4 linked regions of the Caenorhabditis elegans genome follow. The protein of the gene in region 3 purifies or fractionates together with the protein of the main gene of each other region. This does not show direct contact. Each region holds a gene or a part of one and is shown on either strand. Other genes may lie near its edges.

The links.
Region 1: the proteins of ndua-13 (region 3) and ndua-8 fractionate together in Caenorhabditis elegans (co-fractionation; one large-scale study listed by BioGRID). This does not show direct contact.
Region 2: the proteins of ndua-13 (region 3) and moma-1 fractionate together in Caenorhabditis elegans (co-fractionation; one large-scale study listed by BioGRID). This does not show direct contact.
Region 4: the proteins of ndua-13 (region 3) and rpt-1 fractionate together in Caenorhabditis elegans (co-fractionation; one large-scale study listed by BioGRID). This does not show direct contact.

What each region holds. Positions count from the first base shown.
Region 1 is NC_003281.10:2,527,207-2,531,075, forward strand, and holds ndua-8 (NADH dehydrogenase [ubiquinone] 1 alpha subcomplex subunit 8), read left to right. Parts: upstream 1-1,856; 5' UTR 1,857-1,869; coding exon 1,870-2,001; intron 2,002-2,047; coding exon 2,048-2,223; intron 2,224-2,332; coding exon 2,333-2,451; intron 2,452-3,022; coding exon 3,023-3,147; 3' UTR 3,148-3,296; downstream 3,297-3,869. Other genes in the region: rbc-2 (WD_REPEATS_REGION domain-containing protein), read right to left, coding at 675-884, 942-1,053, 1,104-1,227, 1,290-1,422; Homeobox protein cut-like ceh-44, read left to right, coding at 3,414-3,464, 3,508-3,618; cone-1 (Protein CASP), read left to right, coding at 3,414-3,464, 3,508-3,618.
Region 2 is NC_003281.10:850,731-854,002, reverse strand, and holds moma-1 (MICOS complex subunit MIC27), read left to right. Parts: upstream 1-1,606; coding exon 1,607-1,873; intron 1,874-2,169; coding exon 2,170-2,458; intron 2,459-2,507; coding exon 2,508-2,557; 3' UTR 2,558-2,672; downstream 2,673-3,272. Other genes in the region: rnp-5 (RRM domain-containing protein), read left to right, coding at 95-177, 225-866, 919-1,063. UniProt on the Caenorhabditis elegans protein: Sustains mitochondrial morphology probably through maintaining cristae morphology. May act as a component of the MICOS complex, a large protein complex of the mitochondria.
Region 3 is NC_003279.8:10,685,209-10,688,652, forward strand, and holds ndua-13 (NADH dehydrogenase [ubiquinone] 1 alpha subcomplex subunit 13), read right to left. Parts: upstream 1,851-3,444; 5' UTR 1,846-1,850; coding exon 1,749-1,845; intron 1,340-1,748; coding exon 1,261-1,339; intron 1,216-1,260; coding exon 1,002-1,215; intron 959-1,001; coding exon 833-958; 3' UTR 617-832; downstream 1-616. Other genes in the region: sdha-2 (Succinate dehydrogenase [ubiquinone] flavoprotein subunit, mitochondrial), read right to left, coding at 1-37, 85-263, 317-375; kbp-5 (KNL (kinetochore null) Binding Protein), read left to right, coding at 2,162-2,381, 2,442-2,536, 2,622-2,714; tag-272 (Structural protein), read left to right, coding at 3,124-3,184.
Region 4 is NC_003283.11:11,979,958-11,984,400, reverse strand, and holds rpt-1 (26S proteasome regulatory subunit 7), read left to right. Parts: upstream 1-2,003; 5' UTR 2,004-2,006; coding exon 2,007-2,082; intron 2,083-2,128; coding exon 2,129-2,232; intron 2,233-2,277; coding exon 2,278-2,508; intron 2,509-2,555; coding exon 2,556-3,098; intron 3,099-3,311; coding exon 3,312-3,665; 3' UTR 3,666-3,867; downstream 3,868-4,443. Other genes in the region: Mannosyl-oligosaccharide 1,2-alpha-mannosidase mans-2, read left to right, coding at 1-69, 133-567, 617-1,067, 1,115-1,258. UniProt on the Caenorhabditis elegans protein: The 26S proteasome is involved in the ATP-dependent degradation of ubiquitinated proteins. The regulatory (or ATPase) complex confers ATP dependency and substrate specificity to the 26S complex.

The sequences.
Region 1 (3,869 bases), on a different chromosome or scaffold from region 3:
ATCGATATTTTGCATCATAAAAAGAGCTTATAAACTGAAAATTTGAAATTCTCACGGAAATTGTGTTTTTTTTAGTTAAAAATTTTTTTTTAAGCTTCAAAAATTCAATTTTCCACTCGAAAACTGTCCAAAATGACATTTTTTCAATAGATTTATACATTTTTACACCAAAATCAACGTCAAAAGTCGTAAAAATTAATTTTTTTTTTCTTAAAAATAGCTTTAAAATCAGCTTTTTTAATCTAAAGGCTATACAAAAAATCTTCCAAATTAAGTAGAAAATTGGCTTTCTGGAGAAAAAATTCCAAAAACTGTGATTTTTAAGTGAAAAAAATTTGAAAATTTCACGGAAATTGTCGTTTTACAAGTTTGAAAAATCGAAATTATTAATAAAAAACTTTTAAAATCCAAATTTTTGGGCAAAAATTACAATTTTTTGCTCAAAACCACCAAATTTCGTTCAAAAATAAGCTTGAATCAGGGTATCGCGATTTTTTTTTCCATTTCTACATAAAATTGAAGATTTTTTCTAGAAAATTTGTATTTTCACATTAAAACATTTAAAAATGCAATTTTTCCGCGAAAATATGATATTTTTTAATGTTTTTCGGTGATTTTTGGCTGAAAAAAATTAATTTTTTCGCTTTTTAATCGATTTTCCATTAATTCCACACCTTCATCATTCCACTCAGAGTCATTCCAATCAACTGATCCTCCTTTTCCGGATGACTAATAATTGTAAAACAGCTTATCCAATCCGGTTCAACTCTTGAAGAAATTGAGAATACAACTGTCAAATCTTGTGGATCCATTACTTGAATATCACTATAATCTCCAATACAGAAAAGACGAGTTGCTCTCGTGTGACGGGACGATTTATACGTCTGAAATCAAAAAAATTCTCGGTTTTTTCGGCTAAAAATCGATTTTCCAGCGCCTACGTATGGATAAATATATCTGTGAATTGCAATAGAAGATGTTGAATCAATGCACCGTCCATCTTGAATCTCCCAGAGGCATACACGTCCGTCGGCTGAAGCTGAGACAAAACGTCTGGAATTTTTCGGAAATTATCGATTTTTTCCAAATCCTGCGTTACTAACGTATTTGTCGGTGTATTTGTTGTCTGAGAGATTGCTGTAATCTTTTGAGAATGTCCAATCATTAGCTGCTTTGGCATAAGTCCTTCTGCTAGCTTCCAAATAATAATGTGGCCATTTTCAGCGCCTGAAAATTTCGAAATTTCAGATTTTTTGTTTTATTGTTTAGAAAATTCGATGAATATTAACCTGTGATAATTGTTGCGCCATCAGGAAGCACACGAATTGCGCAAATCTTGTTTTCCGGCGGTTTCGGGCCCCAAATGACAACTGGAACGGAGAGCGCCGGCGATTTTGTGCCGGCTGGCGCGACTTCCACCATTTTTCAGCTAGATTTTCAGATTTACAGCAGAAATTTACACAATAATTTCATAATATTTAATCTGAAATGAAATCTGAATTTCTTCAATTAAATAAGCTTTTTTTTTAGAAAACTTTAATCGGAGCAAGAAAAGGGCAAAGTTCGATAGCCCGTAAATCGACATGAGATGCCGCGGGTCTCGCAGGGAAGAGAGCCAACATGGCATGCGCCTTTAAACTTGTGTGGATTTACGGGCAAACAGCCGTTGCGCAAAACAAATTTTATTTTTTATTTTATCATTTAAAATCAAAATAAACTATTTTCAATCGATTTTTTTTTGTTTTTTTTTGTTTAAAAATCAAATTTCAAATTTTTCTCATCGAAAATAATAAATTTCATCACCGAATTCCCTCTCTGTAACAGTTTCCGCTTGGTTTCCAATTTTCCAATTTCAGGGTACATTTTCCGATGAGTATAACCAAGGATACGCATTTTCCAAGTGACGAGGAGCTCACTGTTCCTCAGGAAATCACTTTATCAACTCCATGGCTCAAATCCATCGCTCCCTATATGGCAAAACATTGCGAAAAGGAGGCAAATGTTGGTTTTTCTGCCAAATTTTCGATAAAATTGAGATTTTTTGCAGGAGTTCATGCTTCGACGAAAGGAAGCCGAGGATCCACGTGCCGTTTTGAAGGAGGGAGCCGCGCTGACCGCGTGTGGAGTCAATTTTCTTCAATCTTTGAAGCGTTCCTGCCTTCCACAGACTCAGAAGCTCGCCGAATGTGTTGATCAGAGCAGTGCCAAGCTTTACATGTCAAAGTGAGCTTTCCAAAAATGAAATTTCATCGAAAATAAACCGTTAAAAAATTTTAACGTGATTTTTTTCCGAAAAAAAAAGCGAAAAAGCAGTAGAATATTCAATTTTCAGGTGCCATGACGACCAGAAGGAGCTCGATGCCTGCGTGGAAGCTAATTTGAACTTGACGCGTCCAAAGCTTGGATACTTCAGCAAACTTCATGTCTATGACTCGGCCACCGCGGCTCCAGGTACAGAAATTATAGAATTTACGATAAAATTAATTTAAAAATGCGAAAAAATCAATATTTTAGCTGAATTCTTCCACTGTTTTTCTCTCAATTTTTGTATGAACTTTTCAGAAAAGTTCCCAGAAACTCCTGAAACTTGAAAAATTCTAACGTTTTTGCATATTTTCCTGAAAAAAAAACCACTTTTTTGTTAAATTTTTCGCTTTTTTGACTATTTTAAAGCTTTTTAAAACTAAAAAGTCACGAAATTCACCTTTTTTCAGTCAAAAAAGCCTTGTAAAACTGGTAAAATTTGTATTTTTCGGAATAATTTCAAATTTCGAGCCAAAATATCACTATTTAAACCTTAATTTCAGACATTTTTTAGCGACAAATTCAAATTTCTATCCAAAAAATATTGTATTTTAAGTTAAATTTTGATAGATTTTGCGGAAAAAATCCGAATTTCAAGTCAAAAAAATCAATTTTTTCAGTTTTAGGCATCATTCCCACCTGAATTTCACGAAAATCTCACTAAAAACTCATTTAAAATCCCATTTTTCGCGGCAAATTCAATTTTCCCCAATTTCAGAGGTGAAGCTCCGTGACTACAAGGCAGAAGCAGCTAAAGTGCTCAATGAGCTTCCAGCCGACTATCATCTTCGCAAAGACTACCGTAAATACAACGACTGGCGCTACAATATTACTGAAAGCTAGATTTCTCTGAAAAATTGGCCGTTTTTCTGCAAATACCCTTCGTTTTCCCGTAGAGTTCTCTCCAAATTCTCCTATTTTTTTCTTGTTTTTTCCCGTTTTTTTTTCCAAAAATTTAAATTTTTTCAGCGAATAAAATGTAGATTTTCTTTAATTTTTTTTTTTCACTTTTTCAACCTTTCTGGTTTTAATCCGTGTGCTATTTCTAACAAATTGTGTGATTTTTTGCTGTGATTAAATAATTCGATTAATTTCTTATTTCAGACCTTATGGAAATCGTCTCAAGAGCATGGGAATCTGTAGATTGGGACCGAATTCAAGTTTTTTGGAAAAAAAAATTATTTAAAAAATCTGAAATTTCAGACAAGAGTGGAGGCTGAAGTGACAGCACTTGGACAACGACAAGATGACAGTGAAATTCGTAAAACACGATTGGTTGAGGAGAGTAATGCATATAGAGGCAGAACTAATAAGGTAAAGAATTGGAGAAAAATTGGCCTGAAATCCGGTGAAAATCGAATCAAAATATGGGAAAATTGCCGAAAATCCAGCAAAAATAGAGAGAAATTATGGAAAAAATGGCTGAAAATCCGGCAAAAATGGAAAGAAATTATGGAAAAAAAATTGGCTAAAATCCAGAGAAAATCCGGATAAATTGGCTGAAAATTCGGCAAAAATGCTGAGAATTTATGGAAAAATTAGCTAAAAATCTCAGCGAAAATTAC
Region 2 (3,272 bases), on a different chromosome or scaffold from region 3:
CAACATTCTGTCTCTTCTTCTGCTCGAACACCACGCGGTGAAAATTTTCTTACTTAGTTGATGTCTATTCGAGTATATGAAATAATTTTTCAGTATGGTTGAGAAAGAAGAAACCAAAAAGAGGGCTCGCTCGTCTTCAAGCAGCTCGTCCAGTAGCTCTGGATCGTCATCTTCTGGGTATGCTTTACAATTTTCATACAATAGCTTAATAATCGATATTTCAGAAGTAGTTCATCAGGATCTCGCTCCTCCAGCTCATCGTCCAGTGGCCGTTCTCGTTCTCGCTCACCACGTCGTCGTGATACCCGCCCACCAGCTCGTGGAGGACGCTCTCGTTCTCCAATCCGTCGTGGTTCACCGCCAAGAGGAGCACGCGCGGATCGCGATCGCCCAATGCGACCATCACCATCACCACCACGTCGCCGTCGTCCATCCCCATCGCCACCACGTCGTGATCGTCGTGACAGAAGCGGGAGCCGTCAGAGGAGACGCGCTTCTCCGAGGAGAAGCCCAGCAGCAAGATCAGCCAGTCCGGCCAAGCGTGTAGTGATCAAAAATTTGAGCAGAAATGTTCTGAAAACGCACCTCGAGGAGATTTTCTCGATCTACGGAGCCATCAAGAATGTCGATCTTCCACCAGATCGCTTCCATAACCATGTTCATCGTGGATATGGATACGTTGAATATGACAATTTGGAAGACGCCGAAAAGTCGATCAAGCACATGGATGGAGGACAAATCGATGGAATGGCTGTTCACGTCGAAATGACTATCGGACGACAATCTGTCCCATTCCAGCGTAGAAGTTCTCCATTTAGAAGACGCTCGCCGCCACCAAGAGACAGAATGTCACCAATGAGAAGAGGGTAAGTAATCAAGGAAAAGTAGTATATTTTGATAATTTTCATCAAATTCCAGAGGCCGCAGTCCACCACCACATCGCAGACGTTCTCCAATGGGCGGCCGTGGCTCAGGAGCCAACAATATGCCACTTGGAGGGCCCAACAGATTCCGCCGTGCCAGCCGCTCTCGTTCTCCAGCCGGCAGAAGATCGCGTTCTTAAACTTCCATTACTGACGTTCCATTTTAAAACCCCATTCTAAACTGTCCAAATTCTGAACATCCTTTGTTTATTATTCTTCTGTTTTGTTATGCAAAAGATCTCCCCAATTTTCGTTTTTTTAATAAATTATTTTGGGTGTTTTAAGGGTAATTTGGATTGGTTAAAGACATGGTTAATTGCCTGTTAATTATCTATTTTAATTTTAAAACCGTCCTCAGAGGGGTTTAAATGTTAGAAAATATTTAAAAAAAAAACAAGAAAGCCTGGCGCGAAATATATAGTAGCGCAGGCGTCGGTGTCGATTTATGAAAAAGTGGTAATTAAATACAAAGAAAATCAATTTTAAATAATTGTTTAAAGGCGCATCGTGAATAAACACAAACTCCGTAAATCGACACAGAGCCTGCGCTACGAGATATTTTGCGCCACAAATGTAGGAATACTTATTTCTTCATGGTTTTTTAATAATTATAATAAGCTAATCAATTTTAAAATATTTATTCTTGTTTTATTATTTTATTGTTTTACCGCTTGATTTTCCAGATGACACAAGACAAGCCGATTGTGGAGACAATTTCAAACGCCGGTGAACAAGTGACAAATGTTTTTGGACAATTCTGGCAACTTGTCACCTCGAAAAACACGACGAATAATGGAGATTCAAAACCTATTAAGATTGAGCAACTTCCGATTTATGCTGAAGATAATGCTCCACTGAAGCAGAAATTCCTTCCAGAAGAGCCACTTCCTCTTCAAAGAGAATTCGCGACTATTCGTATCGCATGTGAGCAGGAGTATGATCGTGTTGCTGTGAGTTTTACGCGATTTTATGTGGAGAAAAAATTATATTTCGTTTTTAATTGGTTTTTTTTTAAAAGAAGAGTTTGGATTATTTTATTTAGCTAATTTTTTGTATTTAAGTAATTATTTGATATCTGTAGTTTTTTCAAGTGAAAACCGAATGTGTTTCACAAAAGAAAAAAATACATTGAAAATATCCATTTTCGAGAGGAAATTGAAAATTTTTAATATCATTAAATTGAGTAAAAGTAAAAATTAAACTAATTTTGTGAAAAATATATTTTTATCACCGATTTTTGTTTCAGGAACGCTTCAAAGTTGTCGATTGTGCGATGACTCAAACAAAAAAAGCGGCGACCAAATGCAATGCATATCTGACAGAAGAATGGACTGCTCTTCCAAAAGCCGCAGCAATCACCGTTGGTGGAATGGCCGGATTCGTTTTAGGCCTGAAACGTGGCCCGGTCGGACGTCTCCTCACCACTACCATCGGCTTGGCCACGATGGCCGCCTTTTGTTATCCGATAGAGGCTGTTGACGTGGCAAAGACCGGAAGAGCTCATGCTGAACAAACTTGGTATTCCTTCCAAGAATGTAGGCTTGAAATTTCTGAAAATCAGAGAGAAATAAATAAAATTTTCAGCTCCAACTCCATCTGCCATCGTCAAAACTAACTTGAGCCCACCGAAATAATTGGAAAATAATTGTTTGTGTGTAAAAAATATCCACTCGAATGTCTAGCGGTTTCTTTTTTTGTGTGTGCGCCGAACCCAGTGTTCCTGTAGTAGTGAAATAAAAATGCGATTTTTATGCAAAATTTGAAGAAAAAAAAACTGAGAAAAACAGAAAGGGAGGCACTTTTTGGACAAATTAAGAAAATAAATCTTATGTATATAATATATATATAGAACGGGCGAGGGTGGGGAAGGGAGAGAAAGTCACCCGCAAAAATTTAATCTAGGGGATGGTGAGAAGAGAGGCGCGGCACATTTTTTTGTTGATAAAATTGGAAAATTTATATTGGAACACAGAAATATTTTTACTTTTTTTTTAGGAACTTTTCACTTTCAATCAAAATCAAAATAATTTAAATTTCCAATAAAAACTTCGTCTAAACAACGAAAAAAGAAAAATTTTGTAAATTTTCCGAAAGTTTCAAAAAAGGTGCAGCACATCTCTGGTGAGAAGGCGAGAGGGCAGCGGGGGATCAGCATTATGGGTGGGCATTTTAATTTCAAGAAAATTTTGAATTTTCAGTGGGTGTAAATGTATGGCTATAAATGATTTTAATGTGGCTCGTACATATTTTGGCATATAATCACCCCGCCACTTTTTTTTCGATTTGTGTATTATTTCCCCTCATTTTAATATTATCCATTTTAATAAAACGTGATGTCCATTTTCCATC
Region 3 (3,444 bases):
TTATCTGGATTCATATTTCCCAAAGCGGCGTTCACACCTAAAAATCAAAATTTAAATTCTGTTCGTATACTTTGAGCGGCTCACCTCCTTGAGCCGCGACTGTGTGCGATCTTGTGGGGAAAAGCTTCGTAATGACGGCAGTTTTCATTCCACCTTCGGAGAGTCCCATCGCAGCTCTCAAACCGGCTCCTCCTGCTCCCACAACAACCGCGTCAAAAGTGTGATCAACGACATCAAAATTGGTGGTTGCGCTCACTTGTTTTCTTTGAAAATTGATAAAATTAGTGAAATGGCGTTAGAAAATAAATTATCTCACTTCATATAAGTGCGAACAGGTGTTTTCGCACGGTTTATCGACTTTACGACATTAAGCATCTTGCTGAAAATACAGGAAAAATATAGAACGTTCAGAAAAACAAATAAAAATCCGATAACGGTTGAGGTGAAACCAAAAATGAGTTGGCCGCGCGAACGATACACCGTAGTTCACACTTTCGGTGCGAGACCCACCGCTCAATTTTTGTTCCTGCGCCTTTAAGTTTGAAACAACTACGGTACATTTTTCTCTATTTATTTACATGAAATTTCTGAAAAGAAACGTTTCATTTGAAATTTTATCGTAAATTTACATCTTCATTTCATAAAATTCCAGAAGAGAAAAACAATACACAAACACGACTTTTAAAAACCAAAGGCCTGTCGTTCATTTTCGAAAACTAACAGTCTAAAAATGAAAACAAAAAAAAAAAGAAAATGATGTTTTATTGATAGGGGCCTAGAGCAGGACACGAACTCGAAGATTAGTTTGCCAATCCATCCAGATGAATGGTATTTACCAGAACCACTTGGACATCCATTGTGGGAACCAATTATCGTAGAATTTCGGTCCAGCGTACTCAGAGTGTTGGCGCCAAAGATGATCACGGGTTTCATTTGATCCCCTTGAGTGAACGAATACCTAAAAAATATGATAAGCTCCAGAATTGTTATAAATTTTTTACCTCAGTAGCAGTTGGATCCCACCACTTGTCTCCGAGAGTAAAGTACACTGGCTCTCCGTACCAGGTTCCAGTCTTCCATCCTGGAACATCCTTCATAATTTCCTCTTCCAGAGCACGATTCTTGGCCAACAATTTGAGCCAATATCTGTCACGCTCGGCAGTCAAGAACGGCTCCATTGCGTTGTTGATGTCAACATCTTCGAACTTTTCAGTGCTGTAAACTTGATATTTTTGGAGATAAATTCACTAGTTATCTTACATGTCCTTCTTCTTTCCTTCAAGAGCAGCATAGACTCCGTAGGCAGTAGCTCCGAAAATGGCGGCGACGACGGTTCCAGCTTAAATTTGTGATTGATTTTAAGAAAGTTTTGTGTTTTGAATCAAAATTTGATAGACAGAAACTTAAAAATAGAATACTGTTTCAACAATAAATTTGATAAAAATGTATTTATTCTTCGCGTTATATTATTTATAGAAAATAGTGTGAAATATCAAAAATTACAGCAAAATAGCAAACTGATCCCAAAATATTATGCTAAAAACGTTCTCTGTCATTTATATTTTATTGCTCAAGACAAACAGCTTTATTTTTATAAATAGCGTCTAAGCCTTTTTATTCTTTAAAGTTTCTTGAGAATCGTTTTTCAAAATATTTATTCTGTATTTCACAGCATTCTTCTCAATTTTTTCGGCGTTTTGCGTTGTTTCATTTCGAGTAATATTTTAAAGCAAAAAAAAACAACTCACGACTCCAGACAAGCTTCGGAAAAGTGCGATGGAAGTTGAATGCACGATAGCCTCCTTTTGGAGGCATATCCTGCCGAAACTCTGCTCCAGTGGCCATTTTACCTGAAAATAATGAATATAAATTCGATAAAAAACCGAATAAATTATAAAAATCGATAATTTCGTTGAGGAAAAAAAAACTTGCAAACAGAATAGAAATTGATAAGTCGGGCAAAATGTGCGGCACGGGAATGTGGGCGTGGTCTTCGTCGCAACACTGCGGCGCACTTTCACAGCGATTTATTATTTTGGCGCGTTTATCTTTTTTTTTTGAAGACGTATTTTGCATTTATCGCTTGTTTTCTTCTTGAAATTGCTTTTTTAATATAAAAATCTGCTTTCAAACAAAATTCAAACTTATTTTCAGTACTAAAATGAATCCAAATCATAATGAAGGCCTCCTCGAGCTGTACACACAAGCAATCTCACTCGAAGCTCTCAAAGACGCTGAGCAATTCCTCGAGAATAGTTTGCTAGGAAAAGATGCACAAGTCGAACGTCTACTCGCTCAAGTTCTCATCGAAGAGCAGCAAATCGAGACGAATCGCAAAAAGATAGCACAATTGAGAATCGAGAAAGAAGAACTGGAATTCGGTGGGTTTTCGGAACTTTTCTGGTTTTATAATAATAATTAATTAATTAATTTAAATTCAGATTGTGCAAATAGTGACCTGAAGTCGTTGGAGCAGATGCAAGCCGAGCGAGATGAGCTCCAGAGGAAGTGCCAACCGGGGCAGCACACTAAATCGGTGAGATAGGGGAGATTTTGAAGCTGAGAAATGCTTTTTGTTATCTGAAAACATTCAGCGTTTCTATTATTATTTTTAATTCTAGAATCACAAATCATCTGAACAACTTTTGAGAATGAAAAAAGAAACCGACGCTCTACGTGCCTACATGAAGAAGATAAGTCAATTCGAAGACTGAAGCCATCAAATGAATCTCTATCAATTATCCCTCAATTTAAATTAATTTCCATTCAAATCGATCTGTTCTCATATTTCCTCATGATGTGATTCTCTAATCTTTTGTACATCTACAAGTTATTTTGTTTTATAAAGCCACATCTCACTTATGCATAGTTTTTGTGTCCAAAACGGAAGTGTTATTGGGAAGAAAAAGTACAACATAAGGGAAGAGTGAAGAAAATCGAGAGACGCAGATATGACTTTTTATTTGCGAACACGAAAAGCAAAGTGACCAGCAGCATTGGACACTTTTCGAGCAAACTTTTCGTCCGAGGAGGAGCTCATTGAGCTTAAGTCTCAGAGCACTGACCATTACTTCGGTCACTCTACTGTTTTGAGAAGCGTTGAGCTCTTTCAATCGTGTAAAAATGTTACCAAAAACTGGATCATTCGATGGGATTCCTAAAAATTTCAGAGCAAGTTTGAGAAGTGAGTATTTATGGTCTCGAAATTTTTTTTAAATCTTGAATTCTTATTTTTGTTTTTCTTTCTCTAGTTACTCCCAGGATTAAACCAGTAAATTAAAAAAATGCACTTAAAAATTCGATAACTTCCTAGAGTAACTTCCTACTGTAAATTTAAAGGCGCATACACAAAATATTTTTCATAACGCGCGGCAAGACCAATCCACTAAATTCGTCCTCCCTTGAAGTTTTTCTGCCAAATTTCTCATTTTTCAGAATAAATTC
Region 4 (4,443 bases), on a different chromosome or scaffold from region 3:
CGAGACGACTATTCGCTTTTTGGGAGGTCTTCTTTCGTTGTATGCTTTGACGCAGGAGTCATTTTATATGTAAGTTTCAGTTCTTGATTTTCAGTTCTTGGCCAATTCAGTTCTTGATTTAATTAATTTCAGTGAAAAAGCTAGGGAAGTTGGAGAAGCTTTACTTCCAGCTTTCAATACACCATCTGGAATTCCAAAAAGTAATTTGGATGTAGCATCAAAACATGCAAGTAACTATGGATGGGCTAATGGAGGACAATCAATTCTTTCCGAAATTGGAAGTCTTCATCTTGAATTCCTGTATCTCAGTAGAATTTCCAATGCTCCAATTTTTGAGAAGAAAGTGAAGAAAGTGAGAGATGCTCTTGAAAAAGCTGAAAAACCTAATGGACTCTACTCAAACTACATTAATCCGGATACAGGAAAATTCACAGGAAGTCATATGTCCCTTGGAGCACTTGGTGATTCATTTTATGAATATCTTATCAAGAGTTATGTTCAATCAAATTATACTGATACGCAAGCTAAGAATATGTATTGGGACGTCAGTGATGCTATTCAGAAACAGTGAGTTCTATTGTTCTATTTCTTTTTCCAACAATTTTCATATTTTCAGCATGATTAAAGTTTCCAAACAATCAAATCTTACATACACAGTTGAGTTGAACAATGGTCAAGCTCAACATAAAATGGGACATCTCGCTTGTTTTGTACCTGGAATGTTTGCTCTACAAGCCATCAACGAGGATACTGAAGAAGAGAAATTAAGAATTATGACATTGGCGGAAGAGTTGGCGAAAACCTGCCATGAAAGCTATATTCGTTCCGAGACCCACATTGGACCTGAAATGTTCTACTTCAATGAACGTGACGAAGCAACCAGTAAACACTCGGAAAATGGATATATTCAAAGACCAGAAGTCATTGAAGGATGGTTCTATTTATGGAGATTAACTGGAAAAACAATGTATAGAGATTGGGTATGGGATGCTGTTCAAGCTATTGAGAAGTACTGTAGAGTTGATAGTGGATTTACTGGTCTACAAAATGTTTATAATCCTAAAGCTGTAAGTATCTGAACTTGTGGGCTTTTCTGAATATTTCTGAATTTCAGGGCCGTGAGGACGTGATGCAATCCTTCTTCCTTGCCGAGTTTCTGAAGTATGCCTATTTGACGTTTGCAGACGAATCACTGATTTCACTCGATAAATGGGTATTTAATACCGAAGCTCACCCGGTTCCAGTCTTAACTAATTAGAATTTAATTTTTATTATCTTTTTTTTGAACAACTGTGATTTATGGTTTGATTGTATTTAGAACTCACGAGGTTTTTATTGAAACTTGTTTTTTATCTTCCGAACCAATTCCGCTGTTTTTTGGCTTTTCTTCCCCCCATTTGACCACGGGTTTACCGGTGTCTTGCTTTATAGGTCAACCGTTGTTTTTGTTTTTATAACTGGTTCATATTGATTCTAGCAATTAAGATAAATGTTTTTGACAACTTTTGGACTCATGAGAAAACCAGGAGGATATGTAGTCGCTACAAGTTACAATTTTTCCAGCTTTTTCATTTGATATTAAAGAATAAGTGTATGCTATTTCATATTCTATACTGTACAAAGAATGCTAGTATTCACTATAAAACATTTAGCGCAGGCTGGTTACAAGATTTTGCCAGCAGACGACAAATCTCCACAATGTGAAAAAGTTTTAGTAAACTTTTCAAGAGCGCCCCGAGGACATCTGAAATTCCTTTTCACTAAATTTATATACAAAAAATACATTTTTTCTTGCAGATGAATCATTTCTTTTGTTTCTCAACTTGACATACGAATATTTTTCATAAATTTCATTCTCCCGCGTGAAATGCTAACGCGCTCTATCAGACAGACGACACGCGACGCGTCCGGCGACACTGAAAAATCATCAATTTTCAAAAGAGATTCTCATTTCAAAGCTTTTTCCATATTCATTTCTTCTAAAAATATTTGTTCGTTTGCAGAAAATGCCAGATCACCTTGGAGATGACATGCGCAAAACTAAAAAAGATGATACCAAGGAGGAAGAGAAGAATTTCCAGGGTATGTGGATATCGTTCAGGAAACTAATTCTGAAAATTGAATTTAGCTCTCGACGAAGGAGACATTGCTGTTTTGAAAAGATACGGGCAAGGTCCATACGCGGAACAGCTCAAAACATTGGACGCGGATATTGAAAACTGTCTGAAGAAGGTATTTATTTCATCGTGCTCCTAATTTTATTTCATTGTTCTACAGGTGAACGAACTTTCTGGAGTGAAAGAATCAGACACCGGGTTGGCTCCACCAGCTCTATGGGATATTGCTGCTGATAAACAAGCAATGCAGCAAGAACAGCCTCTCCAAGTTGCCAGATGCACAAAAATTATCACCAGCGACAAGCACGATCCGCGTTACTTGATCAACGTAAAACAGTTCGCTAAGTTTGTTGTAGACCTTGCTGATTCCGTTGCACCTACTGATATTGAGGTTTGAAATTGTAATTAGATTTCACACATAATTGAAAAATGATTCAGGAGGGCATGAGAGTAGGAGTAGACCGTAACAAGTATCAAATTCATCTTCCGTTGCCCGCCAAAATTGATCCAACCGTCACAATGATGCAGGTTGAAGAAAAACCAGATGTAACATATTCGGATGTCGGAGGCTGCAAGGATCAAATTGAAAAGCTTCGAGAAGTTGTCGAGACTCCACTTCTTCATCCCGAGCGTTACGTTAATCTCGGAATCGAGCCACCAAAAGGAGTTTTGCTCTACGGTCCACCAGGAACAGGAAAGACGCTTTGCGCTCGTGCCGTTGCCAATCGAACAGATGCTTGCTTCATTCGTGTTATTGGATCAGAGTTGGTTCAGAAATATGTCGGAGAAGGAGCTCGAATGGTTCGTGAGTTGTTCGAAATGGCTCGTACCAAGAAGGCATGTCTTATCTTCTTTGATGAAATTGATGCTGTTGGAGGTGCTCGTTTTGATGATGGACAAGGAGGTGACAATGAAGTTCAACGTACTATGCTCGAGTTGATTAACCAACTTGACGGATTCGATCCACGTGGAAACATCAAGGTTTGTCTTTAATTCTTTATGGAAATAACCCAAAAAAATCTGTAATATAAATTTATTTATCTCTTGCTTTCTTGAAGGCAGTTTATATCATTAGTTCAGTCCTTTCATCCAAAAAAAAAGACACACATTTTTCGTTTGATAAGTTTCCAAAAAATTAATGCTTACATGTATTGTAAATATGAGTGTTTCATTAAAATAATTTGATATTTTCAGGTGCTTATGGCAACAAACAGACCGGACACTCTCGATCCCGCTCTCATGAGACCTGGTCGATTGGATCGTAAAGTCGAATTCGCTCTTCCAGACCTTGCAGGTCGTGCTCACATTCTCAAGATTCATGCAAAACAAATGAGCGTTGAAAGAGATATTCGTTATGATTTACTTGCTCGTCTGTGCCCAAACAGTACAGGAGCCGAAATTCGCTCAGTCTGCACCGAAGCTGGAATGTTTGCAATTCGTGCTAGAAGAAAGGTGGCAACTGAAAAAGATTTCCTTGAAGCTATCAATAAGGTTGTCAAGGGATATGCCAAATTCAGCGCCACTCCAAGATATCTGACACATAATTAATTGTACCCTATTCGGTTTTCATTCTCTTTCCGGTCCTCGATTAACTTATTTTCGCCCGTCCACCCATTTTTTTTTGTACAGATTCCCCATGTCTCCGATTTTTGTCTTATTTATTACATCCTATCGTCGTGAGATGCACCCAAGTTGGCCCAACACTGTCAGATGTATTCGTTTCGATTTTATGGATAAATGTGATTGGGTTTCTGACTATTAAAACTTGTATACACCAGTTTAAATGAATCTGAAAACGTGCCATAAAACCTTTTCATAAGAAGAGTAGTAATCTAAACGCGATTACGGTGTAATGCCAGAAAAAGTAAGAATAGAAGAAATTGGCAAGCGTATTTTAATGGTACTAATATTGTGCACACTTTACCTAGGAATATATTTTTCATCTCTACAATGTTGACTAGCGCCCTGAATGCTCCAAGGATACTGTTTTCCAACTAAATGTTCAACTGTTCAGTATTTATATTCTGCCTCCTAGAGGCGTTCAAAAATTGCGTATGCCACCCATGTTTCAGGGGACATCGCGGGCAATTGGGAAAAGTTTTCAACCAGCAATAAACGCACCTCGGCAAAGCCTCATTGGTCACGTTATCGCCCCAGCGCAAAGCTAAATTCAGCAGCTCACTCAGCTGATCCTATAAAACACAGCAACCGACAAATCGCGGCTTTCGCGCACAATGGTGCTTTCTGCATTCTGTATTCTTCGGAATGCGGCGCGTGTGCGTTGCGGTCGTCTTTTTCGAATTGCAATCGCTCGCGGTTTATCGGA